3 linked regions of the Oryctolagus cuniculus genome follow. Each later gene encodes a partner of the first gene's protein in a complex. Links are inferred from orthologs where the notes say so. Each region holds a gene or a part of one and is shown in the gene's direction. Other genes may lie near its edges.

Evidence for each region.
Region 2: the proteins of GALR1 (region 1) and GNAO1 are in contact, whole or in part, in a cryo-EM structure (PDB 7XJJ), measured with the Homo sapiens proteins. The link is inferred for Oryctolagus cuniculus from reciprocal best matches to the Homo sapiens genes GALR1 and GNAO1. Residues at the interface, in NP_001471.2 of Homo sapiens: Thr70, Arg133, Ala136, Ile137, Ser140, Arg141, His226, Leu227, Leu231, Asn233, Ser235, Lys236, Lys237, Ser238, Ala240, Ser241, Lys244, Thr245, Thr248, Leu306, Ser307, Glu308, Asn309; in NP_066268.1 of Homo sapiens: Ser264, Asn316, Glu318, Tyr320, Asp337, Asp341, Ile343, Ile344, Ala345, Asn347, Leu348, Arg349, Gly350, Cys351, Gly352, Leu353, Tyr354.
Region 3: the proteins of GALR1 (region 1) and GAL are in contact, whole or in part, in a cryo-EM structure (PDB 7WQ3), measured with the Homo sapiens proteins. The link is inferred for Oryctolagus cuniculus from reciprocal best matches to the Homo sapiens genes GALR1 and GAL. Residues at the interface, in NP_001471.2 of Homo sapiens: Glu32, Gln92, Thr94, Val95, Tyr96, Leu98, Pro99, Thr100, His112, Gln174, Phe177, Arg180, Gln184, Phe186, Cys187, Trp188, Glu189, Gln190, Ile266, His267, Ala270, Phe275, Leu277, Ser281, Phe282, Arg285; in NP_057057.2 of Homo sapiens: Gly33, Trp34, Leu36, Asn37, Ser38, Gly40, Tyr41, Leu42, Leu43, Gly44, Pro45, Val48.

Annotation. Positions count from the first base shown.
Region 1 is NC_091441.1:2,135,226-2,145,589, reverse strand, and holds the start of GALR1 (galanin receptor type 1), read left to right. Parts: upstream 1-5,541; 5' UTR 5,542-6,172; coding exon 6,173-6,838; intron 6,839-10,364. UniProt on the Homo sapiens protein: Receptor for the hormone galanin. The activity of this receptor is mediated by G proteins that inhibit adenylate cyclase activity.
Region 2 is NC_091449.1:40,129,754-40,138,936, forward strand, and holds the end of GNAO1 (guanine nucleotide-binding protein G(o) subunit alpha), read left to right. Parts: intron 1-119; coding exon 120-273; intron 274-2,991; coding exon 2,992-3,179; 3' UTR 3,180-3,207; intron 3,208-3,932; 3' UTR 3,933-5,069; downstream 5,070-9,183. Other genes in the region: E3 ubiquitin-protein ligase AMFR, read right to left, coding at 9,025-9,172. UniProt on the Homo sapiens protein: Guanine nucleotide-binding proteins (G proteins) function as transducers downstream of G protein-coupled receptors (GPCRs) in numerous signaling cascades.
Region 3 is NC_091432.1:3,952,290-3,962,547, reverse strand, and holds GAL (galanin peptides), read left to right. Parts: upstream 1-3,384; 5' UTR 3,385-3,562; intron 3,563-3,639; coding exon 3,640-3,720; intron 3,721-3,894; coding exon 3,895-3,949; intron 3,950-5,342; coding exon 5,343-5,429; intron 5,430-5,693; coding exon 5,694-5,768; intron 5,769-6,377; coding exon of another isoform or gene 6,378-6,448; exon of another isoform or gene 6,449-6,560; intron 6,561-6,574; coding exon 6,575-6,645; 3' UTR 6,646-6,783; downstream 6,784-10,258. Other genes in the region: tesmin, read right to left, coding at 8,474-8,666. UniProt on the Homo sapiens protein: Endocrine hormone of the central and peripheral nervous systems that binds and activates the G protein-coupled receptors GALR1, GALR2, and GALR3.

The DNA of each region.
Region 1 (10,364 bases):
CATCAGGGCACGACGCATCCGTGAAGGCTTTGATTGGCGAGGCCAGAGGGGCCCATTTCCAGGCTGGAGCGAGGACTGCATGGATTCATGAGGATCTGCGTCTACGCGGCTTCGTCCCGGAGAAGGCAGTGACGCTGGGCAGATGAAACAGGCACTGAGCTCAGGGCTTTGCTCCACAGTGGGATCTCGACGACTTCCATTTTGGAGGACACCCCTCTCATGGTGCCTGTGCCGGAGAGGCCTGTGCCGAGTGTCTGGTGCCCTATCACCGGAGGAGCACAGGTGGAGGGGAATCGCAGTGTCACAGGCGCCCCAGTCGTAAGGCGGGTGTCACTGTGCGGGCTTTAGCCCTTGGCTTGTCCAGTGGTGATAATAATGCCCACTGCGTAGGCTGCTGTGAGGATTCAGTGGTGTGCACATAGAGTGAGGCACTCCAGAAATCCTTCCACATTGTGGCTAACCACGCCGTTGACTTGGTGAATGCTGGCGCACTGCTGTTACCACACCCTCACATCTGGGGAGTGGTCCCTGCTGGATCAGAGAGCAGAGACGGGAGCAGGCCGTGCAGTGGGTGAACGAAGGTGATACTAGTTGCCGTGTGATACTAGTTACCGTGTGGTACTGGTTACCGTGTGTTGTATATTCTCTTCTAGACATTTCCTTTTGATACTATAGCCTGTGCATCATTAGAACTTAGGTATAGGACAGGAATCTTGGGCAATCCACAGCTCCTCCCCCCACCCCTCCCCCACCCCCCGCCTCTCCAGGATGTCCCTGAGGGCCAGGGAGGCCCTTGATGTGAGCGGATGGATGCAGAGGCTATGCACCCAGCAGAGCTCCCAGGGCTCCAGCAGTGGGTACGGGGTCAGAGCCTCACCTGAAAACCAGGGCCTCAGCGGGGCAGGGAGGGGGGACGGAGGCCTGGGGAAGCCCCTCTGCTGGAGCCAGCTGAGGACACGCCCTGGCGCCAGGGAGAAGGGCCGCGGGGAGGGGAGGCTATGATAGGGTCACCCTGAGTGTTCCCTGCAGAGACTCGAACTCCTTAAGACTGGGGTGCAGGCCCACCACACCCTGGACGCCTGGTGACCCTGCTGAGAGAGTGAGGACAGAGTGGGTGCAGGCCCACCACACCCTGGACGCCTGGTGACCCTGCTGAGAGAGTGAGGACAGAGTGGGTGCAGGCCCACCACACCCTGGACGCCTGGTGACCCTGCTGAGAGAGTGAGGACAGAGTGGGTGCAGGCCCACCACACCCTGGACGTCTGGTGATCCTGCTGTGATAAGCGAGGGCAGAGTTTTCCACGACTTGGGAACGAGCCAGGCCTCAGAAAGGAGAGGAGGCCGAGCTGGGGCCTGCCTGGTGAGTGCAGGGTCCCCTGTGGTGTGCAAGGCGAAATGCCGGTTAGGCAGGCGATGCCGTGTCCCAGGGGAAGGGTCACAGAGAGCCTGGGATGTGGGCACATGGAGCCTCCTGGCTGGGGCAGCAGGGAGTGGGCAGCCAGGAAGCCACAGTACTGCAGAGGGCAGGAGGCTGGCCAGGGCCGGGAGCTCCTGTCTAGATAGAAACTGCAGCAGAGTGGTACCCCTGCCTCACCCCTGCCTCTCCTCTGCCTCACCCCTGCCTCACCTCTGCCTCACTCTTGCCCACCCGGCCTCACACCCCCACCTCTGCCTCATCCTTGCCCACCCTGCCTCACACCTCCCTTTACTCCTATCTCACCCTTGTGTCACCCGTCCTTTTCCCTTCCTCACCTCTGCTCATCCCTGCCTTTATCTTTGCCTCACCCCTGCCTTCATCCTTCCCTCACCCCACTTCACCTCTGCCTCACCCCTGCCTCACCCATCTCACCCTGACTCACCCCACGTTGTCACCTCTGCCTCACCCCTGCCTTACCCCCGCCTCACCCCACGTTGTCACTCCTGCTTCACCCCTGCCTTACCCCCACATCACCCCACGCTGTCACCCCTGCCTCACCCCTGCCTTACCCCTGCCTCACCCCACGGTGTCACTCCTGCTTCACCCCTGCCTTACCCCCGCATCACCCCACGTTGTCACCCCTGCCTCACCCCTGCCTTACCCCCGCCTCACCCCACGCTGTCACCCCTGCCTCACCCCCGCCTCACACTGTGCTCCAACACCAACAGCCACAGTCCTGTCCTGGGCTCTGCAGCCCAAGCCCCTGCGTGCCTCAAGGAGTGGCCGCTGACCCCACAGGACGAGCACCGTGCATCCCTGTGGGAGCAGCCGCTGTGCCCCAGGTGCCCTGCGACGGGGATTCATGAACACTGGGCACCAGAGACGGGGCCTGGCCTTCATCTTCCATGAAACGTGTTGTGTTCTCTCTCTGGAGATGTTTCTCTGCGTCTTCCATTCCTGATACATTGATCACATAGCGCTAATCCCATTAAAAAGCGGTTTTCTGTCCGTTTTATGGACTCCGCACAGGAAAGCCTTGCTCAGTGTAAAAATAAGGCAACCCGAGTGCATAACCAAGAAATTCCTGGCATCCAAAAATGATGCCGGAGCCCAAAGTCACCGGGTTATCCAGGCCACGGCCGCAGGGCACTCCTGACAGACTCACCGTGGCCGCGGGACTTGCTGGGATAGGAAAGCGGCTTCAGTAATTACAGCGCTGCTGAGACCCACGAAGGCGTGGCGGCGCCGGCGGCGCGGTGGCTGGGGATCCTGCCTGCTCCCACCCAGCGGCTGCTCCTCGTAGCAGAGGCCTCTCACCGGGTAGACCAGGAGTCTGGGCTAGGGAGAGGACAGCTTCTGCCCGTGAAGACTTGGAAGGCGTGTTCAAGCTTGCCTGTTCCCACAATGCCTGTAGGCTTGCCTAGCAGCACCAGGCTGAGCAGCACAGCTCACCTGAACCCGCAACGGGGAGCAGGACATCTGGGGGTCACTTAGCACGTCAGCGCTGGCTTTCTAATTTCATAGGGAAAGATGGCTTTGGGGCTTAACCTGGAGACTTCAAACTCAGACCCTGTTACAAAGCCAGGGCCCAGAGGGGCTCTCCCATCGCTGTGCGTCAGCGGTGAAACTCCCCAGCCAAACGAACGTACCCGGCAGGTTCTGCAGCGCAGGTTCCCCCAGCCGAGACCTGTGTCAGGAGAAGCAGCCCCTCTGGGGTGTGCAGTCCTGTGCTAAAGGAAGGGGACCCACGGTTTGACCTTCAGCTCTGTGACCGCACAGCAAATGCACCCCGTTTCCTTGGCCAAAGCCTGGAGGGCGTGGGTGTTTCTCATTCCCGGCCCTGAGAGGAACAGAGAGCTGAGCCAGATCACAGCGTCTTCCAACAGGGAGAGCAGCAAATGGCTGGAGCAGAAAGTTCCAGAACACTCCGGCAGCCTCAGAGGCAGCTGGGAGAGGAAGGTAGCTCTGGGCACTGGGGCCCAGGTCCCCTCTGTCGTGCGGGGTTTGCAGTCTGGCTGCACCTCTGGGTTCCGAGTGTCAGATGCAGACGTTCCCTGTAGCACGCCCAGAGTTGGCCCCACGGGGAAACGGCAGACGCAAACGAAAACAGTTTTGCAGGACTGCGCTCTTCTCTTGATTCTCACTAATGTGCTTTGGCCAAGTAGAAATCTAAAGGACAGCATTTTTACAAAACCGGAAGCAAGTCACAAGAACAGGAGCTCGGTTGAAACAATTTAAGCATAATTAGGCTCCAAGGAGCTCATAATTAATTTTTATTTCTTTATTTGCATTTTATTTGGAAGGCAGAGAGACGACAGAAACAGAGCTCTCCATTCACTCTTCCAAATAGCTACAAGGGTCGGGGTGGGGGCAGCCTGAGGCCGGGAGGTCTGGAATTCCTTCTGCGTCTCCCACGTGGGCAGCATGTTCCCAGAACTTCCAGTCAGGCTAAGATCATTCTTTATATTGCTTCTCCTCCTGTGGTGGGAGAAGGGAGGAGACAGAGCGAGAGAGTGAACAAGAGAGCACACAGCGTAGAAAACAGAGCACAGAACAAAATGCTGAAAGTCAATCCAGAAACCCATACAGAGTAGCAATATCAATAAGTAGAAGTGTGTGAAATTCACCCGTGTGAAAACTAGAGATTGCTGGCTGGATTCTCAAGTAATTTGGTCCTGTGTTCCTTTGAAGCGGTGCCCTGCATCACAGGGCATGGAAGTGACAGGCACTGTCCGTGCATCTACAGTGCCACGACAGCCTCACAGGCCAGACCAGAACAAAACTTGTCACGTCACTGAGCACAGCACACTGAGACAAAGAACAAGCAGCCAACCACTCAGACCCACCAGTCTGTCTAAGAGCCTGTGTGTATGCCACGAATGCATGAAGCAGCAGCAGGTGTGTGACCCCTGAGACCGCCTGGAGATGGCTGAGGGGACGGGAGGTGGAGAAAAGTGACCTCAGTTCTACTGGTCATCGTTTACTCCTCTAAGCTAGGTGGTGGGCCTGCGGGTATTTGATATGATTCCAACATACCTGTTCCATGCCAGAAACGGTTCATATAAATCTTTCCCTGTGCCACACGACGTGACTTTCCGTGCAGCAGAGCCGTCCAACACCTGGCACCAGGCAAGGCAGGGACCCAAAACAGCCCTGACAGGCAGCCCCACTTCCGGAGTTTTTTCAGGTGTCCTTCGGGGCGGGGCAGGTGAGGGCACTGCAATGAGCAGGCCTATCCAGTTTGTCCCCTGGAAAACGTGCGTCAGCAGTGCCAGACCCTTTGCAGGTCCGGCGTGGGACCACAGCGTTGGGGGAGCTGCAGCAGCCTTCCCAGTGCCAGGGAGAACGGCGCGGCAGAGCTGCAGACAGCTCGGGCACTGCACAGACCCCCGCGGGCCCCAGGGCTCCCCGGATCTAAGCCCTAAATCTGCCTCCCGCAGTGCGGCGCCCCCTCCCCTTTGCGCTGTCCCTGCTCTCGGGCCGCGCGTGGTGCCCGCTGTGGCGGCGGAGTCATCATCAGGAGAATGCACTGTGGTGTGTTTGAAAGATGCACACACACGACGCAAACATCACAGAAAGTCAATTTCCGCTCTTCAGCTGGGAACCTCCGGGATGACAAACCCACGTTCGCCAGCGCAACTGTGCCTGGCTCCATCCCTGCCGTGTGTCCAGCTTGCAGCAGGCAGGGACAGGACGTGCGCACGGTTCGGTCAGCGCCCAGAGGAGGAACGCAAGGCCTGGAGTTGGAACGCTAAACCTTCCTCCCAATGCTTTCTTCTCCCTGCTGTTGGCGGGGGAGGTTGGGGGCGCTTGGGGTTTGTATCGGCGGGCAGGAAGTGCCAGCTGCCCGCTGCCCGGGAGACACTGAGCGATGAGGCAGCCTGCGCGCCCCAGCGCCTCCCCGTCCAGCGCGCCCTGGAGCGCGCTCCGCGGCCCTCGCCAGGAGCCGGGGCCGCATCCTGCAGCCGCTACCATCCTCAGACCCCAGCAGACCCGCACCCAGTGCAGGCGCGCGCGCGCGGGTTGTAGCAAGGAGGTGGGCGGCGACCCTTCCTGTTAGGATTCGCCGTCTCCGCTCGCACGCCGACTTCCGGGGGTACGCAGGGGGCCCCCAGGGGGCGCAGATTAAAGCCGGGTTAAGTCTTCGCCGCTCCCACCCGGCCCTGCCCACCACTAGGGAGCTCAGAAAGCGCTCTCGCCCTGTGCGCTACTTGGAATCCCAGCAAGACCTGCGAGGGAGTCGGAGGCGCACGCAGCTGGGGAGGTGGCGCCGAGCGCACGGGAAGCGCCGCGAACCCTCTCCGCGAGCCCCACCCTTGGTGCGCTGCGCTCCCGGCCCTGCCCCGGGTGCGCTTTGGGGAGGAGCGGCTCTGGGCAACAGGTGCAGCCGGAGCCGGTCGGCAGCACGGGTCTGGAGCCGCTAAGGCGCCGAGAGGACTTTCACCTGCAGGGCTGCAGCCGGCGGGTCCCGGGGTCGGCGGCCGCGCGGCGGTCGTAGACGCGGGGCCAGGAAGACGCCTGTGCTCCCCGCCGGACAAGAGCCAGCTCCGCGCCCCCGCGCCGGCTGTCCAACGCCCGGCACGAAGACTGCGCTGCCAGGCGCGGCTGCCCCGCCGCGGCGCCCGCTCTCCTGCGCATCGGCGGAGGCTCCGGTGGAAACTCGCGCGCTGGCACTCGGGGCGGGACCCCCGGCGCCGGCTGCCCGTGGCAGACAGCCTGCCCCGCCACCCCGCGTCCCGGGCGCCCCCGCGGGCCATGGAGCTGGCTGCAGGGAACCTCAGCGAGGGTAACGCGAGCTGGCCCGAGCCGCCCGCCGCCGAGCCCCGGCCGCTGCTGGGCGTCGGCGTGGAGAACTTGGTCACGCTGGTGGTGTTCGGCCTCATCTTCGCGCTGGGCGTGCTGGGCAACAGCCTGGTGATCACGGTGCTGGCGCGCAGCGCGCCGGGCAAGGCGCGCAGCACCACCAACCTGTTCATCCTCAACCTGAGTATCGCCGACCTGGCCTACCTGCTCTTCTGCATCCCCTTCCAGGCCACCGTGTACGCGCTGCCCACCTGGGTGCTGGGCGCCTTCATCTGCAAGTTCATCCACTTCTTCTTCACCGTCTCCATGCTGGTCAGCATCTTCACGCTGGCCGCGATGTCGGTGGACCGCTACGTGGCCATCGTGCACTCCCGGCGCTCCTCTTCCCTGAGGGTGTCCCGCAACGCGCTGCTGGGCGTGGGCCTCATCTGGGCGCTGTCCATCGCCATGGCCTCGCCCGTGGCGTACCACCAGCGCCTCTTCCACCGCGGCGCCGCCAACCTGACCTTCTGCTGGGAGCACTGGCCCGACCCGCGCCACAAGAAGGCGTACGTGGTGTGCACCTTCGTCTTCGGCTACCTGCTGCCGCTGCTGCTCATCTGCTTCTGCTACGCCAAGGTGGGGCGCGCGGGACCGAGGGCGCGGGGCCGGGGGTGCCCCGGGAGTCGCGTTGTGTCCGCAGCCCCCGCCCGCGGGCCCGCGCGGCCTGGCGGTGTCCGGCGGACGCCGCTCTGCCTTTGCCTCTGCGGGCGCCCTAGCGTTGGAGGCGGCGCAAGGGTTCGCGGAGTTTGCGGTGCTGGGGAAGTTCGCGGGTCGCCAGTTGACTCCGGGAGGGACGTTCCCCGTTCTCGAGCCCTAGGCCCCCGCGGCCCTGGGAGTCCGAGCGCAGCCCGCGCGGCCGGCGAGAGAGCCGCTCTGGTGGCGCAACTGGGATGCGGGAGCAGCCGGTGCCACTGAGCGCGGCGCTGCTGGGCGCGGGGTCCATCGGAGCGCGTCGGGCCCGCCGCCCCCTCCCTGTGCTGGTTGCGCTGGGTAGAGAGGGGGCGCCCGCCGGGAGCTCCCTCCAGGACCGGCTCTGGGAAGCCGCTGCTCCTGGGAGAACGGAGCTTTGCGGTAGTCAGCCCCGGTGGGAAGACGGCATTTCCTGTGGTCCCCGGGGCCGCGTAGAACCCCTGCCTTCCGCGTTTCCACAGCTGAATCCCCGACCCTGGGGGGAGGCTCCCGGGAACACAGCGCCCTCGGCCGCGCCTTAGCCCGCGCCCCAGCTGCTGGAAGGCAGTTCTCCTTTCCCTCCGCTTACTCAGAGGACCTGAGGACTTCTGCATTGACCTGTGACACGACCGGTCCATGTCTGCGTCAAGAGGCATGTGTGTTGAGTGAGGATGGTGTTTGTGGGGTGCACGCCAGTGTGCACACACAGCCCCCCTATACCCTCAGCGCTAGACAGACAGCTCCCCAAATTCTGAAATTTCTGCCCACGCTCCGCCCTGTCGGTCTGGCCCCCTGTTTCTGGGAAGGCTGAGGCGACAGGACCCTGAACAGCACAGGGGGCGGAAGGAAGACGCTGGCTTAGAATCGGTTCCCAGGGCATTCTCCCCCCCCCCCCCCCCAAAAAAAAAAAAACCCTCTCGCCATAAGCCTGCTGGTGTTGTTCCTCCTCTCTGTGCCATCCAGGTGGGCTACGTCTCCTGCGAGTGGCAGTGTTTTTTGATGTCACCCGAAGGTTCTGTGAACAGATGTGCTGGGGAGGTAGGGGATTCAGAAATGGCCCCTAGCCTGGCCGTTGGGAGAAGGCTGACTCATTCATGAGTCTGGGAATGCAACCCAGAGGCTGGTCCCCCAGCGCAGCTGTCCCTGTGTGCCGTCTCACTCGCCTCGCACACCCCGTGGGTGCCGGCTGCTGTCCCCTCCGCAGTGACGAGAGGAGTGGAGGCCCCGGGGGCCAAGCTGGAGATGGTTCCGGAAGGCTTTTCAGCAGGGGTGCCCAGGGGCATGGAGGAGGGGCAGACAGTGGGGGCCTTGTGGGCATGGAGCTTGAGACCAGGGGGACACTTAAAATGCTGCCTTCCGGGTTCCTAGCTTCCTGCCTTAGACCCAAAGCGAGCGCTTCCCTCACTCCCCCAGAGGCCTGGGGGAACTTGCTCAAATCCTGCTGGTGGAAGTGACAGGGTCAATCTTCAGGGCTAAACTGGCCATCTTGCTGTTGTTTGAGAGCTTGTAAAACTCGGAGGGCAGAGTTTAAAAAACGTTTTTAAATACTCAGTCATTTGCAGATTTTCTCTGGAAATTGCTTGCTTCTAAGTGGAAAAGCCTTCTGAATTTGAAGTAGTATTTGCAAGCCCCTTCCAGGGCAGTGTGAACAGGTGGAGGTGTGTGGCCTGCAGTGCTCCCTTGGGTCAGCCGGTGGTGCTTAGCACCTGCGGATCTCGTTCTTGAGGGGCAGGTTCGGGCCTGGCTGAAAGGGGTTGCTTCCAGAGGTGCTCTGTGCTCCCCAGACCCTGCTGGTTTCCAGTGGAACAGCTCCGGCACCTGTCAGTCATGGGAGCGTCCAGAACACGTGACTAGAGGACAAATGCCGGCGACCAGCGCAGTACCCCCTGGGGCGCCCACTGCTGCTGTGGGGCTGGCCTTGGGAGCATCCTGCTCCCAGTAACTGCTGCCCACCCCACCAAGATGCTCCACACCCCCAGGGTGTGCCCGGCATGGCCCTGGGGGTGGGTTTGACCAGGCCCCTCCCTGTGTGTGGAGTGAGTGAGGTCTGTGGCCACACCTTCAGCCCTGCCTTCTTCTTCTTCTTTTTAAAGATTTATTATCTGAAGGTCAGAGTTACACACAGAGAGAAGGAGAGGCAGGAGAGAGAGAGAGAGAGAGAGAGAGAGAGAGAGAGAGAGAGAGAGAGAAGCCAGGAGCCAGGAGCCTCCTCCAGGTCTCCCACATGGGTGCAGGGGCCTAAGAACTTAGGCCATCTTCTGCTCTCCCAGGCCACAGCAGAGAGCTGGACTGGAAGTGGAGCAGCTGGGACTCGAACCAGTGCCCATATGGGATGCTGGCACTGCAGGCACTGGCTTTACCCGCCGCGCTACAGCACCGGCCCCGGCACTGCCTTTTAGAGAGCACCATCATCACCCCTGGGGGGACCCCCCCCAATTGGGATGCACCACGCACAGCGGTGTGTGCAGAGTGCGGGCACACATTGAGGGGAACAGCCATGGAGAATGCGCTGGAGTATTTCCTCCACTGACCGTTTGCCACGTCTGGTGTTCTCGGATGCTCTGGGGTTACTCAGCTGTGACCCAGGTTAGTTTGTTGAAAGAATAAACTCTTTTCTTCCCGTTTGAAATGCTTTCCTATTTGCTCCTGCAAAATCTCTCTTGTGCCACGTGCCTTCCTTTCAGTTTTTGGTACCCTGATTATTCCTGCTGGAACGGTGGCCTCGTCCCCTGCCAGTGCACTGAGGGTTATCCACGCGCCCCCGTGGGGAGTGAAGGGCTGTGCTGCCATAGCTGGTGCATGGCCGTGTCAGGAAGTGAGGGAGAGGGTCTGAAATCAGAACCCGTGCCACAGGGACGGCCACTTACCCGCTGCAGGGCCTGGAAGTCTGGCGAGCACACGCTGTGGTTTCTCCACTGGAGCACGACGGCTGCGTCCTGCTGGACGGGGCAGGACCTTCAGGGAGTGCAGGCCGCAGGGCCACAGGGAGACCGAGGAGTGCCAGGAACGTGTGTCCCGCTTCTCGAGAGACTCTCAGTAGTGTGGTATCCACGCTCTAGGGCATCAGATGCTATTTTTTTTCCTAAATTTCCTCTCAGTTGGGAGGTAAAAGTCAGCTCAGGCACGAGTTCCCGATTGGTGCTGTTGGATATCAGGTTTGTGTTGGGAAGTCGTACATACAAGCAACAGTTCTCACGCCGTTGCTCCTGAAACACACTGCAGGGACAGAGAGCTGCTTTCTGTACCAGAGAAGCCTCAAAGTACTCACGGACAGGGACATAGTTGTAGAACCTTGCAGAACAGTGGATTAATCCTCGGTGATGTCGAATGCCTGAAATGTGGGTTGTGTCACGATACGGCGTGCTGGGTAGGCTTGGAGCAAGGGAGGAAAGCAGGCCGGGGCCGGCAGTGTGCCTGCAGGGGGTTGGCCATG
Region 2 (9,183 bases), on another chromosome or scaffold:
GCTGCCAAGTAGCCCAGTCCCTCTGTCTCGAACCTAACTCTCTTCTTCTCTTTCCCTGTCCCCGTGTCTCTCCCCCTGCTGTCTGTCTTGCTCTCTCTCCTCCCTGCCTGGGGCTGCAGAACCGCATGCACGAGTCCCTCATGCTCTTCGACTCCATCTGCAACAACAAGTTCTTCATCGATACCTCCATCATCCTCTTCCTCAACAAGAAAGATCTCTTTGGCGAGAAGATCAAGAAGTCACCTTTGACCATCTGCTTTCCTGAATACACAGGTGGGTGTCACGGTGGCCCCGTGCAGTGGGGGGCCCCTCCAAAAAAAAAAAACCGGGTTTCCCCCAGACGATGCAAACTGGAATCCCACAGCCTGTGGCCTCAGGAGCTGGGCCACCACTGCCTGGGCCAGCGCAGGCGCCTGGCAAGGGTGCAGCCCTTCCTAGGACATGGCCCTGAGTGGGGTGGGCAGTGGCTGCACCTGAGCCATTTACCCAGGAGTGGCATGGCAGGGACCATGGGCAGGACAGGCCCCCAGGAGTCCCTTTCTCTTTCTTCCTGGTCACCTTCTACAAGAGGTGCCGGGACCCAGCAGGGGCACCTCCCCAAACCTCACCAGTGGCTTCCCACTGCCTCCCCCCAAGTCTGTCATTGAACCACTCTGCATGCAGAGGAAAATGTGGGGACGTGGCCGGCATGTGGGGCCCGGGCTGCTGTGCAGGCTACACCTGCCCGCTCTGCCACCTGCCTGCATGCACTGCGCACACTGCGCCTCTGTGTGCAACAACCTGGCCCTGGCCCAGCAGCCCTCCCCCATCAGAGCTGCTGTGGGACGGAACTCCGGGAGGCCACAGCCCTGAGCCTCTGGGCATTGGGGAGCTCTAGGGGCCCTGGGTGGAGGTCCCTTTGCATGCTGAGAAGAGGGCCAGCACCCTGCAGTGGAGGGGTCGTGCCCCGCCCTGCCTCCAGGTGAAGGTAAGGTTGGTTCAGTCAGAAACCCGTCGTTGTCCCAAGCAAGACTAGAGCAGGGGCTCAGGTCCCAGGGCCACACACATCCCTGAACCCAACCAGAAGACACCCGATTCCAGCACAAGCCTTCTCCACTGCTGGGAAGAGTCCCGTGAAGAAGGTCCCTCACAGAGCCAGGCCCTGTCCTCCCTGGCATGCCATGCCGCCCATCCCACCGTGCAGGGGGGAAGTGGGGCCGGGGCCTGTGCCCTCTGCTCCCACGGGGTAGCCTGGAGTTGAGAGGTGAGTGCTGGGCGCAGTGGAGACCTAGAAAGGGGGACCTGGGCATGGAGGAGGCGCCCTCTGCAGGGCACAGCAGGTGCAGGAGGGCACGGCAGGCGGTGCCAGGCTGCAGCCCCCCACCCCCTACTGCAGGCAGTGCCAGGCTGCAGCCCCCCACCCCCTTGGCAGCCCCTGCTTCCCTTTCCCACCTCAGCCAAGGCCTTCCAATCCCCAGTCCTGAAAGCTGTGGCAGCGAGGCCTGATCTGGGACGTGGCCCGAGCAGTGAGGCCCCCAGAGGCTCCCAGCAGGTGCCCCCAGGGCCCGTCCTGCTGACTCGGAACGTCGGAGCTCTCCAGGGCCTGCCGAGGGTCCCGGTTGATTCAGACTGCATGATGGGTGGCACAGGGTCACCTTTGCCTGTGGCCAGGGGTGCAGGCCTGTGGGGGAGGAGGCTCGGTGGCCGCAGCAGGGCTGGGGCAGGGCGCAGGGCCATCCAGCTAGAGTCCCTGTGGGCACCTCGCTCTTCTTCCTTGGCTCTCTCCAGATAGGGTCTGCCTCCATCACTGTCCAGCCGCTGACAGCTGGGCCAAGGCTCAGTGACCAGGGGTGTCGCACCCCTCTCCTCACCCTCCTGCAGAGGAAAGGGACGTGCAGGCGCCTTCCAGCGGCCAAGCGCCACTGTCCCTGGGCCCACGGGGCTGGGCGGGGTGGGGGAGGGGCGGCCCCACCCCTGCAGTCACTTCGCATCATTTAATTCCTGGGCGAAGTCCTGGCAGTGCAGAGGTCCAGGGGGCATCTTCCGGGCAGTGCACCGTCCTGCGCTCCAGCCGTAGCCCGTGCCCTGTGGTCTTTCCATGAAAGCTGTGCAGAGCCACAAGGCTTCGGGTTGTAGCTGACGGGCCACCCACAGAGCTGCCAGGGGCTGTGGGGAGCCCAGATGGCATCATACACACCAATAGCCCCAACATTCCACATCCCGGCCACTCACCCAAGAACTGGGGCTGCTTAGAGATGCCGCCGACCTCAGCAAGTGCCCTGTGGTTGGAAGAACGCACTGAGGAAGGAGCCCGGGGCCCATGCGTGCTCACCCCCTGCCAGGCAGCTTCCCATGAGGTTTTATTGTCTTGGTTCCTTAGAATCAGCAGGATTGGACTGGACCACAGGGAGGCGCCTCAGTTAACTCACCCAGAAAGCAAGAGGCAGGGTCTGTGGCCGCTGGCTTCCAAGGCTCCCGGGAAGATGGCTCGCGGAAGCCCAGGGAATGAGAAGGCAAACCAGGCAAATGCTAGGACTTCAGCAGTTTTCCTTTTCCTTTCTTTCTTTGTCTTTTTAAGATTTATTTATTTGAAAGAGTTAAAGACAGGAAGAGAGAGAGAGAAATCGCCCATCAGGTAGTTCACTCCCCAGATGGCCATACTGGCCAGGGCTGGGCTAGGCTGAAGCCAGGAGCCAGGAGCTTCGTCTGGGTCTTCCATGTGGGTGGCAGGGGCCCAGGCGCCAGCAGGGAGCCAGATGGGAACTGGAGCAACCAGAATGTGTACCAGTGCCCACAGGGGAGGCCAGCGTCACAGGCAGCAGCCCAACCTGCTGCGCCACAACGCCGGCCCCTTCCGCTGAGAACGCGGCCACACGGTGGACAGCGAATGCCCAGCAAGCCGCACTGTCCCCGACAGGACAGGCCACCGCCTACCCCTCTCCCGTCGGTCCTCAGACCCCCCGCCCTCAGCTCTCACCAGGGCCCGACCCGTTCTTCTGTGTCTTGTTTCAGGCCCCAATACCTATGAAGATGCAGCTGCCTACATCCAAGCACAATTTGAAAGCAAAAACCGCTCGCCCAACAAAGAGATCTACTGTCACATGACTTGTGCCACGGACACGAATAATATCCAGGTGGTATTCGACGCCGTCACCGACATCATCATTGCCAACAACCTCCGGGGCTGCGGCTTGTACTGACCTCTTGTCCTGTATAGCAACCTATTTGGTAATGATCCCAGCACTCACAGAAACGCTTGCGTGCGCACTCACACACACTCACACGCACACACACCCCCCACTGACAAATGCAAGTTGGTAAATAAACGTTCCAGAGGCGACACAAAACCTTATATATGTATATATAGACGAGTATATATTCAAAAGCTTTTCAGTTTGTTCTAGAAAGAGCCGCGGACAGAACTGACCACCTTCCCCCAGCCCCTGGAGGTCTTCCAGGGCCACACTCACGCTCACACTCACACACGCGCGTCGTGACGGGAGCCTGCAGCGGGCGGCTCGGGGTGGGGGGCTCCCCGCTAACACCCACTTCCGTGACCGAGCGGGGTGGGGGGAAGGGGCTCCGCGGGCCACCGCCCCCTCCCCCAAACCGCAGGCTGCGTGCTGTCCGTTCTGTCCGGCTCTTGTGCGAACTCCAAAACCCTCTCCGCCCGCCCGCTGTCCCCAGCCCCAGCGCAGCGCGAGGACACGTCTCTCTGGGGGAGCGGCGCTCCGCCTCGTCCTCGTCCGCGCGCTCTGCGGGTGCGGGGCCGAGGGGAGGGCCAGGCCTGCAGTGCGCGGCGCCGGGGTCGGGGGTCGGGGGTCGGGGGTCGCCGGGCCCCGGATGCTCGCGGCGCCGCCCCGGCCCGGCCCGGCCCGGCCTGGCCGCCGTTTTGGTTGGTGGTCTTCACGGACAGCACGGTCAGACGGGCCCCCTTGTCTCTCTCTCCACAGACTGCTTCACGGACTCTTTGCTGTTGACGTTGACCTCCTGGTAGCATGACCTTTTGGCCTTTGTAAGACACAGCCTTTCTGTACCAAGCCCCTGTCTAACCTCCGACCCCAGAGTGACTGACGGCTGTGTATTTCTGTAGAATGCTGTAGAATCCGGTTTTAGTTGAGTCTTTACATTTAGAATTTGAAAGGAAAAAAACATTTCTCATGTGCTTTGTAGCGTTAAAAAAAAAAAAAGACGAAAAGGAAAACTCACCATTTCATCCAATTTCTTTGTCGTTTCACATCAGCATCCACATCTGCCCCCACGGCCCCCCCACCCCCGGCCCTCCTCGAGGCAGGGTCCCCGCGCCCCCGCCGAGGGGCGCCCCCGCGCACGTCCGGCCGCAGGCCCCGCTGCCCCACACCGCTCCAGGTCTGATAGAAAAAGCACAGCTCTCACTGGCCAGTAGCTGCCAAAAAGCATCCCCGTGGCGTGGCGCACGGAGAGGACAGCCCTGTGGGAAACGCCCTTCCCCGCAGAGCCCCTCGGGGGCTTCGTTTTCGTTTCTGTCCCGCACGGGCGCCCATCGGCCTCGGCGCGGCTGTCCCTCGGCGACCGCCCCCTGCCCCAGCCCCAGCCCCTGCCCCTGCCCCTGCCCTCCCCTCGGCTCGGTGAGCCGCGGCCGCTTTCTCACGTGGGCATGTCTGTGCTGCAGATAACAAAGAACAAAAAGATCATCTTTAAAGACCACCAGATGGAAAGAAAACCCCAAAAATAAATTTACACACAAAAACAAAACCAAGATGGAATGTAGCGTCTACACGGAAGCACCACCTCCCCGAGCAGCCCCTGTCAGACCCACCCCTCTCACAGTTCCACTTGTAAGACTCCATCTTTGCTGAAGACCAGTCACAGCCATTTCAAATAAAGAGGAGGCACGAAGACAAAACACACACAAAAATTAAAAATACAGGAAAAAAAAACTTGAAAAAAAAGGAAAAAAGAAAAAAAAAAATAACAACCAGCCCACGGGTCTTTCTAAGCCTTTCTATTCCCGCCCGGTGAGGTTTCTGTGATTATCTGCCACACTGCCAGTCTACTTCTCTGACAATGGAAACCCCTGTGTCGCTCAATAAAGAGAATGTTTGTCTGTACCCTGTGTCCCCTCTGCCTTCACATGGTGGGCTGAGGGGGGAGGGCTGCCCCGGGGGGGGGGGGGAGAGGGGCAGGCAGGGGCTCCCAGCTCCGCCTCACCTTGGGTAGAGCAGGGCTCAAGATGAGAAAGGCAGAATGGGGGGGGGGGGGGGCGTGGCAGGCATCCCCAATCTCCTGCCAATACAGGATCCGATCCCGCTGCATCTGGGCCCAGGGGTGCCACCGTGGGAAACGGCGATCCCGAGGATGGGAGCACATTGCCTGGGCCCCGTGCACACAGGGGCCACACCTGCGAGCCGGCCAGGAAGCGATCCTTTGGCTTTGCTTCCTGCTGCACCGAGCAGGCCCAGTGTGAGGACAGACGAGGACAGATGGCACACGGAGTCTGAGCCGTCTCTGGGCAGCCAGTCTCACCCTCTCGCTCCCACGTAGCTGCACTCTGCAGCCCACTGTTCCATCTTGAGGGACAGTCTCCCAGGGGGCTGCCCACCGGAATCCTCTCCACACCCCGCACATGCCAGTGATCTGCCCAGAAAGCAACGCTGAAGAACCAGCCCTGGGCGAGGACACGAGTCTGCAGCCAGTCCTGGCCATCACTGCTGAGGCGAGTTCCGGTGGCCTTTTCATCGGGGAGTGGTGGTGGGGGCTGACCTAGGATACCAGTGCCTCTCCGGCCCCCAGGTCGACTTCCTAACAGGGGTCGTGGGGGACAAACCAAGGCCCACCGGGAGGATGAGGGGCACCATGACATTGGCCATCCGTGGCCTGTCCAAATTCCCTAAAGAGGAGCCAAACTGGGCTCTCGCCCAACTCTCAAATTAGTTTTGTCAATAAAACCGAGAGTTCTTGCCTTCTTATCTTTCTTAAAAGGAGGTCAGCATTTTTAACGGATGAAGGGAAAAGACCAACTAAACTAGATCACGGAGAGGGGACAGAGCGCCCGGGACTCCACTCCACAGTGCAGCCGGGGCCAGAACCACTCACTTCTAGGCTGAGAGCAGGAGCCGAGTATCCCAGAGACTGCAGTGACGCAGCCTTGTAGGGGCGGCGTTCTTGGCCAGCTCCGCAAGCTTCCGACTCCCTTCTGCATGCACACCCCGCGTCCTTTCCCGGGCAGATGGTCTGCGGGCTGCAGTGAGAGCAGTCTACAGCTCCAAGAGCCTGCCTGAACACACCAAGTAAGCCATCCACGTGGGCCATCATTCTCCCTGACCCATAAAAGCCTCCACATTTGTTAAAAACACAAAACTCAAGCAAGTGGCTGAGAACCCAAGAGGTCAGAGGGAGTAACAGCCGCTCCCACGGCCAGGCAGGGCAAGGGCACAGAAAGCCCACGTGCCACGGCCCAGCGGTACAGCCTGTGTTCCATGGCAACATCGGGCACAAAAGCAAGCTGCCCACCCTTGCAGCAGCGGAGATGGCCAAGGGGGACTGGGCCGGGAAGCCCACCCACTCTCTGCCCTCAGCACCTATCCCAGGGGCCTCCAAATGACAAAAGCCAGGGGCCGGTGGTAGCAGCTAGAATCTTTAACTGTCTAGATGCACAATTTAGGGGTGAACTTGGGGCTTGTCGGTCACTGTAGGCTAAGTAAAGCATTCTCCCTGCTCTGGTCACTGCCACGCTGTGATAGTCCAGTGATCCCAGGCCCTCTATCAATTTCCTCTTTCCACTTCATAAACCTGAGAAACTGGAGTTAGTGTCATCTCTAATGGGTATGCAACCTGCAAAGTAAAACAGACTCGGAGAAAGCAAAGTAGCCGCCTCCTCCATACTTACCTTGAAAATAAATAAATAAATGTGGGGCCGGCGCTGTGGTGTGGTGGGCAAAGCCTACTCCTGCAGTGCCGGCATCCCACATGGGCACTGGTTCGAGTCCCAGCTGCTCCACTTCTGATTCAGCTCTCTGCTATGGCCTGGGAAAGCAGTGGAAGATGGCCCAAATGTTTCAGCCCCCACACTCGTGTGGGAGACCCGGAGGAAGCTCCTGGCTCCAGCCTTTTTTTTTTTTTTTTTTTTGACAGGCAGAGTGGACAGTGAGAGAGACAGACAGAGAGAAAGGTCTTCCTTTGCTGTTGGTTCACCCTCCAATGGCCACCGCGGCCGGCGCACCGCGCTGATCCAAAGGCAGGAGCCAGGTGCTTCTCCTGGTCTCCCATGGGGTGCAGGGCCCAAGCACTTGGGCCATCCTCCACTGCACTCCCTGGCCACAGCAGAGAGCTGGCCTGGAAGAGGGGCAACCGGGACAGAATCCGGCACCCCGACCGGGACTAGAACCTGGTGTGCCGGTGCCACAAGGCAGAGGATTAGCCTAGTGCTGGCTCCAGCTTTGACCTAGCCCAGCCCGTGGCCATTTGGGGAGTAAACCAGCAGATGGAAGACCTGTCTCTCCCTGTAACTCTGCCTCTCAAATAAATAAATTTTTTTTAAATGAAATACTAGTATGAGGAGAAGAAAAATCCTGTCTGCCTTCTCCAACATACTGGAGAAAGCAAAACCCCCCCAGCCAAAATGGTCCCCACAAAATCAGAGTTAATGTCCACCCCCCTGAAAGCAGCTGCCTCAACTCCCAGCGATACACAACACACTAAAAGTTTGCTTTTTATTATTATTATTGTTTTACAATGAAAACAAATAGCTATGCTCTCAGCAAAACAAAACAAATTTTAAAAATCACAGAGGTTTACTAACAGCATTTCAAAGTAAGGCTTTTCAAAGATTTATTGAAATAAATTACTTCTGCCTAAATATTTGTCTACCACCCTTTTTTCAATTACTTGTCAACATTCTAAAAACTTCCAGTTATGTAAAATACATTTAACTTTGCCAATAATTTTAGATAATACTGGGATTCTTCCCAAAAGGACTACCATAAAACTATGTTTCAAACATTAAAAAAAATTAATCCAATGGGACATAAAACTGAACTATGTAACCTATGATTGCGTGTTTCAAATCCCAAAAGTTAACTGCGTGAGGAATTTGAAGACTCAGGACCTGGGTCTGCTCCAAGGCATGTGGATTCAACCTGTTAGCTTCCTAGGTCTGGCGGACAGCCACGGCCGGGGATACACACAAGGTATCTATCTCTCAGTTCTTCCCTAAAGCCCTGCCCAGTGCACTCCCCACTCCCCCACCTGGCTCGGCCCACCTCTTTTCCGAAGACCAAACCCACAGGCTTTGGCACTGCCCGATGGGCCTGACCGAGGGGTTAAAACCATAAACCAAAGCTGGCTGCCACCCCCTTCCCCGTGTCCACAGGGCCAGGGAACGCGGAGGGGACGGGGGACACGGGTACACTCAGGACCTGCAGGAGCACCAGAGTTAACGGAAATAAAGCCAGCCGTGACCTGGGGCTCACACAGTCCCGATGTGGCGGGAGGGAAGGGCGTCGCCTTCTCACACTCTGCAGCCCCAAGCTTGCCCCTCCTCTGCTCCGGGCAGCAGACCACGGCCTTTCCCAAGATGCCCTGCTGGCCCCGAGGGTCCGGGAGCCCCCTAGTCTGGCCTCTGACACCTCCTCTGCCTCCTCAGGTGTGACAGCAGGTGGCGGCGGTGGCGGCGGTGCGGAGCCAGGCTCGGCGGTGCCTCTGCTCGCTGCTGGCGATGCGCCCTCCCAGAGCACACAGCCTCCTGCCAGATGTGGCGCTAAGGACGCAGTATCTGCCGCTGGCGGGCGCCTGCCCACTTCCTCCTGATCGCTCCCCACCCCAACAAGTCAACGCCTACAGTGAAAATGTGCAGTGCTTTTAAGGGGAAGAGAATATCACATAGAAAGTATTACAGAGAAGAATTAAATCTGTCAGCCGTCCACACACTAGAAGACCACATGCTCTGTACAGCGGCAACGAGTCGGGCCCGCGGCGTCACACGGCAGCAGCACTGGGCAGCCTCTTCCGGCTGGGCGCAGGGCGCGGGGCTCAGGCGGCGGCGGCGGCCGAGGAGGGGCGGCGGCGCTAGGACGTCTGCTGCTTCTGCAGTCTGCGCTCGGCGGCGGCCGCCAGCATCCGCCGCCGCAGCGCCACGGGGTCGGGGGACGGGCCCGCGGGCGGGAGCAAGCTCTCGGCGGCCGCGTCCTCTTCGGAGCTTTTGTTCAAGAAACGCCTGCGGAGGGA
Region 3 (10,258 bases), on another chromosome or scaffold:
GGGTGGTTTGGGGGACAGAAGACGGTGTGGGGAGAGGGCCCAGGTTCTGCAAGTTCCGTCTAAATGCATTTCACAAATCCGAGTGAGGACGACCACTGGCCTCTCAGACCCGCTGACAGGGCTCCGAGCTGGCCCTGTGCATGGGGGACTGGAGCAGGGGGCTCTCGGGGCACAGCCAGCCGGACATCACGTCAAGGGCATGAGCACCTGTGGGGTGACTCCGTGCCTCTGTCCCCAGCAGCCATCACCTGGTGGCCCATGGCAGTTGCTCACTTCCAGCCCTCATGTCCACATTCCAGGCAGCAGGAAGGAAGGAAAATGGACGGAACAGGGGGCCTCCCAGCGTGCCCTCCCCGCACTGGGCGTGTGCTGGGCCCCGTGGTTCCCCCAGCCAAGCCTGAGTCCATCCTCCTCCCTTCGGGATAGCCGGGGATAGCTGTGTGCGTGTGCGTGTGTGTGCACCTGCGTGTGTGTGCGTGCGTGCGTGCCTGTGTGCATGTGTGTGTGTGTGTCTCCACTGGGTGCCCATCCTACCAGGCGCTAATTTCATGGCCGGGGGTGTGAGGAGGAGCTCCCGCGGGGCGAGGCACCCTGGCTGTAGGAGCTCCGGAGCGGAGCTGGGCAGCGCGTGGGGCCGGGTGGGCCGAGGCTCTCTGCCGGCCGTCCATTACGGTAATGCTGGGCCATTTTGCTGGCCACACACTGGGCTGTCTCGGCGATCACGGTTGACAGCCACTCCCCTCGGGTCGCTGCCGGGCGAGGAGCCCATTAGTGGCCTGGCTGTGGGTTCCAGCACAGCTGGAGCCAGGAAGCAGGTGCGGGCGCCCCGGCTGGGCTGTCCTGGTTTGTCTGTCGGGGGTCATCGCAGGTCCTAAGCGCCCGCCGGCTCCGAGATCTGGCGTCCGGTTGCCCAGGCTCGGGGAGCGGTGCTGGCTGGGGGTGGGTCGCCCCGAGCAGCCGGCGTGTTCCCTGGAGGATGGGTCTCTGCTCAGCGGACACAGCGCCTCAGGTGGCTCCATCGCGCAGTTACTCACGGAGACACGCGGGGGACATGGCCAGACTGGGTCCTGTTTAAACTTGTATTTGTGTATTTATTTTGCGAGGCAGTGAGACAGACAGGGGGAGAGAGGGAGAGAGACAGAGAGACAGAGACAGAGAGAGACAGAGACGGGGGGCTCCCACTGCTGGTTTGCCCCCAAATGCTTGCAACAGCCAGGGCTGGGGTAGGCAGCAGCCAGGAGCCGGGAGCCAGGAGGGGGCAGGGACCCAAGTACTTGCGGCAGGGGGCTGGGTTTGGGCTCCTGATTTGGGGTGCGGGCGTCCCAGCTGGGGTCTCAGTGGCCAGCCCACGCCCACCCAGGCCCTGTGCTCTGTCTGGCTCCCCTGTCAGTCATGGCCCGGCCCGCCTCTGTGCACCCATGGAAGGTGGGGCCCTGTTGCCCAGAAATGCTTGGGGGCCGGCACCGCTCACCTCCCAGAGTGGAGGCCAAGCCGCAGCGTTCGGCCCTGGCCAGCTTGTGGCCGGATTTTCCTGGGAGGCTGCGGGAGAGCAGCTGGGCTCCCTGCACCTGCTGGCCCGGCGCCAGAGGCCCTGGACCCCATGGGAGCCTTGTGACCCCGCCCACTGCCCAGGGCCCCGCCTTCCAGCCCCTCTGGGGATTCATGGGTTCATGGTCAGCCCGGCTTGGGGGAGGGGCACATGGTGGGGCCGACGCTGGCCAGGGCGCACTGTGGCATTACCAAGGTCGTGGCATTTCAAAGGTAGCCCCGGTGGACAAGGCCGCGGACACCGCCCCTGCCCCCTGCCCCGCTGGTGATGTCCCTCTGGCCTCCACGGTTCAAGCCTGCCAGGGCCACAGCCTCTCCCTCCCTCTCGCTCCCACCGCAGGCTGCACGTGGGACACCCTCACCCTCACCCCAGGATGGCCAAGTCTGGTCCAAGACCCCTCCCTGGGCCCAGTCACCCCCAGCACCCCACCCACAAGCCAGAGCAGGCGTCGGCCCCAGCGCCTGTTCTCCCTGGCCGCCAGCTGGCCGTGGCCAGGTCCCCGAGTGTCCCAGGGGTCCTTCCCCGTCCCATTGGGAGCCCATGGCTCTCCCTTGCCCCCCCTTGGTGGGCTGCGCAAAGGCTCTTGGGAATGGAATGTGGGAGACGTGGTGATGGCCTCAGCGGCCATCAGTGGCCCTGTGCTGTCCACCCCGGGTGCCCAGTGACATCACCGATTGGAGCTCAGCTCAGGGGGTGCAGCGGCCGAGACCTCCTGCTGGGAGCTCTGGATGAATGACGGGCAATGTGGGTGGTGCCCTGGGCTGTGCTGTCCCCGGGACTGGGGGTGGGAGGGCGGGGGGGGGTTGCCCCTGTGTGGGGGTCTGCACCTGCCAGCCCGCCCCTGCCCCCGCCAGCCTCTGGGAGTCCCAGCTGGACTGCAGCAGTGAGGACCCACCGCTGTGGCCAAGAGACCCCCGCTGCCGCCCCTTCAGCTGGGCTCGGGGCTCCGGACAGGGCCGGTGGAGCGCAGGCCCCCCCACTGGGCCTAGCCGGGACTGCGGTGGTCCCTAACCGCGGCTGCCCTCTTGTGGTCGTGTCCCTCCTCTGCACGCCTTCCCCTCAGGCCGGCTGGTGGGGCTGGGGGCTCTGGCTAGGAGCCAAGGCGGGGTGAGGGCGGCGATGACCTGGGCCGGGAGTGGGGTGGGGCTCTCCCGGGGGTTGGGGTCTCTCCCATAGGGATGTGGGTCTCTCCCGCGGGGGTGGAGGGTCTCTCCCGCGAGGGTGGGGGTCTCTCGCGGGATAGGGGGGTCTCTTCTACGGGGGTGGGGGTCTCTCCCATAGGGATGTGGGTCTCTCCCGCGGAGGTGGGGGTTTCTCCTGCGGGAAAGGTGATCTCTCCCGCGGGATGGGCGGGTCCCTCGGGTCCCTCCCGCGGGGGTGGAGGGGTCTCTCCCACGAGGGTGCGGATCTCTCCCAGGATGGGGGTCTCTTCCGCGGGATAGGGGGAGTCTCCTATGGGGGTGGGGGTCTCTCCCGCGGGGGTGGAGGGTCTCTCCCGCGGGAGTGGGGGTTCTCTCTCCCGGGGGTGGGGGTCTGTCGCGGGAAGGGGGTCTCTTCCGCGGGATAGGGGGAGTCTCTCCTATGGGGGTGGGGGTCTCTCCCGCGGGATGGGGGGTCTCTCGCACGGGGGTGGAAGGGGTCTCTCCCGCGGGAAGACCCTATCGCGGACGTGGGGGGCCTGCCTTTGCCCCCCCACAATACAGGCCCCCGGCGCTGCCCGCAGGGATGGAGTTCCGGTCACTCCGCCCCCGGGCTGGTGGGGGCGCTGGGCGGTGCTGGGCCCCGTGACGCGGCCGCGCGGCCCCGGGAGGCGCAGATAAATAGCGGCGGCGGCAGCCCCGCAGGACACGTCGAGGGAGCCCGGCCGCCCGCTGCCCGCTGCCCTCTCGGCGACCCGCCGCGCCATGCGCTGAGCGCCCTGCCGGACCCGCCTGGACGCCAGGACCCAGCCCGGACCCGCTCGGACCCGGCCAGACCCGCCCGCCCCGCGACGTCCCGGGACAGTCCCGCAAGGTGCGCGCCCCGCCCCGGCCCCGGCCGTCCCCCGCGGCCCCCGAGCCCTGCCCGACGCCCCTGCCCTCCCTCCGCAGATGGCCCGGGCCGGCGCCCCGCTGCTCGTCTGCCTCCTGCTCGCCGCCGCCCTGCCGGCCCCGCGGGCGCTCGCGCTGCCGGTGAGTCGGGGATGGGCGCGCGGGGCGTGGTGGGCGGTGTGAGCCGCGGTCCCGCAGCCTTGGACAGCGCGGGGCGCCCTGGAGCCGCGGCCGGGGCCGTGGACCCCCACGCGCGTCCGCGGCGGTCCCTGTGCTGCGCCCCCAGGCCTCTGACCCCCTCCTCTCTCTTTCCAGGCAAAGGAGAAGAGAGGCTGGACCCTGAACAGCGCCGGCTACCTGCTCGGCCCACGTGAGCGACCAAGGCCCCGCCCACCCAGCCCTCATCACTTGCTGTCCCAGCTCTGGGCAGGCCCCGGGGGGTGGGGTGGGAGGCAGTTTCAGTCCCTCCCAGCCTGGGCGGCCTCTCACCTTTGCCTGACCCTCCCTCCCAGCAGGTGGGCGACACCCAGGAGGGAGGCGGGACCTGCAGACCCCCTCTGCCTGGCCTCTGGGACCTCAATCCCTTGTGCACCTGACTCTCGTCCCCCACCCTGCAGCTGGGCAGCCCTTGAGGGCGTCTCGCCGGGCTCCCCGGTTCCACCGAGGCTGCCTCCGTCCCACCCTGCCCCCCGAAACCTCCCCTGGGGTCCCCAGAGGCCTCCACAGTGCTCTGCACGTGTGACCCCAGCACCTCTTCCTTCCAGAGGCTTCTTCCGTGCCTGCTCTGCCCTGACCCTGGGCATCCCCCCCGCCAGGCTCTGCAGCCCCGTCCTGGGCCCTGGCTTCCGCAGCCGCTGGTGGCTCCCACGGCACAGGCGCGCCCTCTGGGCTCTGCCCTCGTCCCCGGCTCCAAGCTGCACGTGGGAATTGACATGTGACCCACTGCAGGTGGCCGGGCCCACTTGTCTGGCTCCAGACTACACGGGGATGGTTCTCTTCCTGTTCAGACCTGTCCCCACCCCCTCCTACGCGGGCCAGTCCCACGGGCGCCGCGAGGACCCCTCTTGCTCTGAGGATGGAGGCACTGTCGGATGGCTAATGCCTAAGCAGGGAGGGAGGCCTCAACAGGACGCTGAGGGTGGGGCGTCCCCCTGGTGTGGCTGACCTAAGAGGAGGCCGGGTGGGCACCCCCCGACCCCACGCCTCCTGCGTCCCTAGCCTCCTCTGCCGGGAGAGGTTGGCCAGGCTGCAGCCGTGGGCACCTGCTGTGCTGGGAGTCGCCCCTCCGTTATGTCCTCACGCAGAGGGGACGTCACAGAGCCCGGGGCCCCCTCTTCTGGCTCTCCTGCATTGGGCTCCTAAGTGGGGCCGGGGGGTGGCCGACAGTGGGGAGACTGCACGAGGGTGCAGGGAGCACCTCTCCGGGCGCTGCAGGCTGCCGGCCCCTCCCCTGGCCCCTGTGCAGTCAGATCCCAGTGTTCTGCGGGCAGGCAGCGGGAGACCTGGCTCCTCGCCCTCTCCCACTTGCTGCCCCTCCACGGCCCCCTCTCTCCAGCCCCACCCATCTGCAGTCTGGGCACGTGCACGCCGATGCTGCAAACAGCCCGTGTGCCTGTGGCCCTGGCACGTGCAGCCGGGCCGGTCACCCTCCCTCCTGGGGCCTGGCCCCGGCTTTATTTTGCAGTGCAGATGTGCATGCGTCTTGGGGCTTGGGGGGGGGGGAGCTGGCAGTGGTCAGACACCTGCCTCTGATCTGCCGACAGACGCCATCGACAACCACAGGTCCTTCCATGACAAGCAAGGCCTCGCTGGCAAGCGGGAGCTCCAGCCCGAGGACCAGCTAAGGCCAGGTGAGGAGGCCCCTGCCCGGGCACCCGCACCCCGCCTCCCCTCCAGCCACAGCCTGAGCCTGACCTGGCCCGCGCCTTGCCCGCAGCCCTCTGGCTCCGCTCCAGCTGTCCACAGGGCCGCAGCACGGACAGCAGGGAGGCCCCGGGCGGAGTGGGGCCTGGAACCCCCTCCCCAGGCTGCATGAGTGAGCCTGGGCCCCTGGGCTCAGGTCCGGGCAGCGTCATGAGACCGCGGGCTTACGGGCGCTCTTGCCTGCTCTGCAGGGAGCTGGGACGGGGCCCCGCCCGAGAGCGTCGCGCGCACCATCATCGAGTTTCTGACTTTCTTGAGGCTCAAAGGTGCGTGAAATGGCGGCCGGAAACGCCTGCGGAACCCCACCGGGGAGCGGCTCACCCCCCGCCCAAGTCCTGGCCAGCACTGCCACCAGGGAGGAGCAGGGGCCTCGGGCCGGTGTCCTGGGCCATCGCTTGTAGGGCAGCTTCTTGGGGGCCTCCCTTGCCTGCTGTGTAAGCGTGGCAGATGCAGGGCCCCTGGGGCAGCCGCCCGCACGCCTCGCGGGAAGGCTGGGTCCCGCCTGGCCTGGATGGCGGTCACAGAGCTGCTGGGGGGGCAGGGCCGAGGGAAGGGGGCCGCAGCCCTGGGAGGCGGGCCGCGGTGGGGGCCTCTGTCTCCGGCAGTGTGGACGGCACCGTTTGCTGTCCAGCTTGGAAGAGTTGAGGCGGTTCTTGGGCTTCCTCCGTGGGGCTGAGTGCCCAGGCCACGTGGCTGAAGGGCATCAGGCGGGGCTGGACACCACGCCTGCCCGGCCCCCGGGCTGTCTGGGCAGGGAGCCTAGGGGGGACAGGACAGCATGGTGGTGTTGACCTGCCCCTGCCCGAGCCCCGAGGGGTGCAGGGGCTCAGCCCGTCTGTTTTGTTGCCCCCTTTGCAACACGAGCACTCCTCCAGGTGACAAGGTCATTGTTTGTAACACTCCCTCGACACGACTTGAAAGGCGGACGGCTTCAGACCTGCGCTGACCATGGGGTGAAGCCCACAGAGGCGGGCAGTCCAGACTTTGCACCTGACCCTGGAAGCCCCCGGGAGGGCCCTGCGCAGCCCTCCCCAGGCCGGCTGCTGAGGCGGGGTTGGCTCTTTTGTTGCAGAGGCGGGGGCCCTGGACAGCCTGGCCGACCTCCCCGTGGCTGGGTCGCCGGAGGACGCCGGGCAGCCCTGACCAGCCGCTGTTCCGGGCGGCCATCTGTGCGGAGACCGGGGCGGGGGCCGTGCCTGCTCTCCCCGCCTCACTCTGCTGTCGTAATTTAAGATTTTGGGACAATTATTTTGAGTGGCAAAATAAAAAATAGCAACTGGCCACAGTGGTCCTGCTCTGTCCGGTCGCCGCTGCGCCGGGGGTGGGGGTGGGGGATTGGGTTTCGGTTCGGAGCCACGCCCCCACCGCAGAGGGTCTGCGACACCGCCTGCGCTCGCCAGGGGGCGCTGCGCTAGCTCCTGGGTCCACACCAGCAGGAAGGTGGAGACGGACCCAGGAGTGGGGGGACTGGCGGGGGCGGTCCTCCCGTGGCCAGAAGGCTGGCAAGGGGCAGATCTGATGGCTGTGGGGAGTGGCAGACCCCGGTCCTCTGAGCAGAAATTTTAAGATCATTCCAGAAGATTAGAGAGAGAACAGGCGAGGGGGAGGAGCCGGGCAGGCTTCGGTCCAGTTAACGGTGCTGCAGCTTCCCCACCGGTCAGACTGGGAGGTGGGGCAGGGCCTTCCCTGGGGGAGGTCTTCCCTGGGGGGAGCCTTCCCTGGGCGGGGTGGGCTCTGCAGAGGCGTGGCTCCCAGCTGACTGCAGGGCCACACTTGGCCCCCCGCTGCCCTCTCTTCCCCTGGCCACGCCGCGGGAGCCCCAGGCTGGAGTACCTGTGTCCGCACTCCCAGCTCGGGGTGGTCTACCCCGGGGCCCACCCTCGCACCTGGCTCCCCCACCACACTCACTTTGTCTCTTTAATTCTCCCACTTGACCAGGCAGCGGCGACCCGAGGCCTGGGTCAGAATAGCTGCCGGGCCCCGGCGCAGGCATCTAAGTTCCCGGGCCACTGCTCCAGGCCAGGGACACACAGTGGCCACTTGGCCTCCATTTAGCCTTGCCCCCAGCTCCCATCCTGCAGCCAGGGCCACCCGTCCCTGTCCCCAGCCCCTGGGTCACGGCCACCTGCAGGTGCTGCCGGGCTCGGCTGGCACAGTGCCCTCGGCAGTGCCGTCAGGGGCAGGCGGTCACAGACACGCTGCTCCCTGCTCCGCGTGGCTTGTCCCAGCGAGGCCGACACGCCACGAGAACATTCCTTCACCACTCCGGGGGTGCTGTGCAGGTGAGCTCCCGTCCAAGCTCACTGTCACACTGAAGACACCTGCTTGCGTTCTACGACACAGCCAGGCTCAGCCTCAGAACCAGCCGTCCCGCTGGCTCCTGCAGACTGGAGGTGATATTTCAGCGAGGACGACGGGGAAGTTAATCGGGTAATAGGACTTTTCCACAACTCAGATACAAACACGTAAGAGACTGGACAGAGCTCTAACCCCTGCAGCGCCCGACACCGCTGACCCAAGCCCAGTCTCCCGCAGTGGGCGACTCTCTCCAGGCTGTGGGGCAGCCCAGCTGGGGCATTCATTTCTAAATAATTTAAAAAACAAACAAAAACCAAAAAGCGCCCAAGGCAGCCCCGGGGAGGCAGCTCCCCAAGGGTGGAGGGTGAAGGCGGGTCCTCCTCCTCCCCTCCCTTGGGGCCCTCCCCAGGGCCTGCGCCGGCTGCCTCACCCGTGGGGACAGTGCTCCCAGGACCACGGCCCCTCCTTCTCTGGCCCAGACAAGCAGTGCTTATGTCGCCCACTTGGTCAAAAAGACAGGTCCTGGCCCACACAGCCGCCATCGAGCTCTGACAAACCTCCGGCCCACGGGGCAGCATTAGGGCAGGTTTTGGGCTCCCAGCTGTGGCCACAGTCCCGGATCTTCCACGTCCCGAGACAACACTGACGGGCACACACCTGCCTCTGCGGTGCTCTACTCCATCTTCAGCCCCTTGGACTTGAACTCAATGTGCAGGATCTGTGATAAGCAGCGTCCGAATTCCTCCAAGACCAGCTGCTCCGCCAGGCACTGGGAGCGTTGCTCCTTCTCGGCCTCTTCCCCCTGAGCCAGCAGGCAGGCGCACGTGGCCTCCACCACCTCCCAGGAGATGCAGGACGCCGGCCGCCTGTGGGGAGCAGGGTGGTCAGGGCCAGCTCGGGGCGCGAGGTTCCCCAGCCCTCTGTGCGCCACTGAGCAGGGGCGTGAGCGTCTGGGCCCTGGCCAAGGCCCACGCAGCCACCTCGTCCTTCTGCCAAGGCAACCGCAGGCAGGACTGGGAACTCAGTAGGTCTGGGGCCGGCGCTGTGGTGCAGGAGGTCATCGCCTGGCACCCCAGATGGGCACCGGTCTGAGTCCCGGCTGCTCTACTTCCCATCCAGCTCCCTGCTGTGGTCCGGGAAAGCAGAGGAAGATGCCCAAGTGCTGGCGGCCCTGCACCCGTGTGGGGGACCCAGGTGAAGCCCCCAGCTTTGGGTCGGCTCAGCTCCTGCCGTTGTGGCCATTTGGGGAGTGAACCAGAGGACGGAAGATTCTCACTCTCTGCCTTTGTTTTTCTGCCTTTCTCTGTAACTCTGCCTTTCAAATTTTTTAAAAAAGATTTTATTTATTCATTTGAGAAGCAGAGTTACAGAGAGAGAGAGGGAGGGACGGAGAGAAAGGTCTTCCACCCACTGGTTCCCTCCCCAAGTGGATGCAACAGCCAGAGCAGGGCCAATCCAAAGCCAGCAGCCAGGAGCTTCTTCTGGGTGCAAACAGGTGCAGGTGTCCCAGCCCGTGGGGCATCCTCTGCTGCTTTCCCAGGCCATTAGCAGGGAGCTGGATAAGAAGAGGGGCAGTGGGGACACGAACTGGCACCTGTCTGGGATGCCGGTGCCAAAGGCAGAGGCTTAGCCTACTACGCCACGGTACCAGCCACAATAAATAAATTAAAAAAAAAAAAAAAGAAAGAAATTCAGTAAATCTGTAGCAGGCTGATTTCTAAGTTGTAAGGCCTGCGGGTGGCGCTCTAACTACCCACACAGCCCCTGGAGCCGTCAGCGCTGTCTTCTGGTGCTGGAAGCGCACCGATCCTGTGGGCTGCTGTCGGGACGACACAGGCAGGCGGGCGTCTGCCTCCCGACATCCCTCAGGGCGGACTCTACATTTTCTCAGATCCGCTGACAAACCCAGAGGCTCCCGGGCTGCAGCGACCGACTCCGGGCCAGGCAGGAACCTCCTACGACACTGGCCTGCGCTCCAGGGGCAGTGCCGCGTGCTGGCTCCGCCCCCTTCCCACAGGGGCTGTGCGGACTCCCGGCCTCAGCCTGAGGCTGGCCCCTCAGTGCCCTTGGGGGCCCTCCGGTTCTCAAGGTCAAGGTGCACTGTGTTGTGTGGGAGCAGCCGCTTCCACCCGAGCTCCAGGGGCGACTGCGGCTTAACTAGAGGGCGCCCAAGGAGCGCTCACACGGAGAACTTTCGGGAACACGTCTCTCTCTCTCTCTCTCTCTCTCTCTCTCTCACACACACACACACACACACGCACACACACACACGCACACACGACTGAAAGCGTGGGCTGTGACGACAGCGCTCAGCCTCGGCTTCAGTCCCTGCAAAGCTGACGCCGTGACTTCTGCTGGAGACGCAAGTCCCACGCTTGGCAGCCCCCACGTCCACGGCACGCAGCACCGTGGGGGCGGGGACAGCTCCACGCTCCGCCTCTCGGAACGTGCCGCCGGC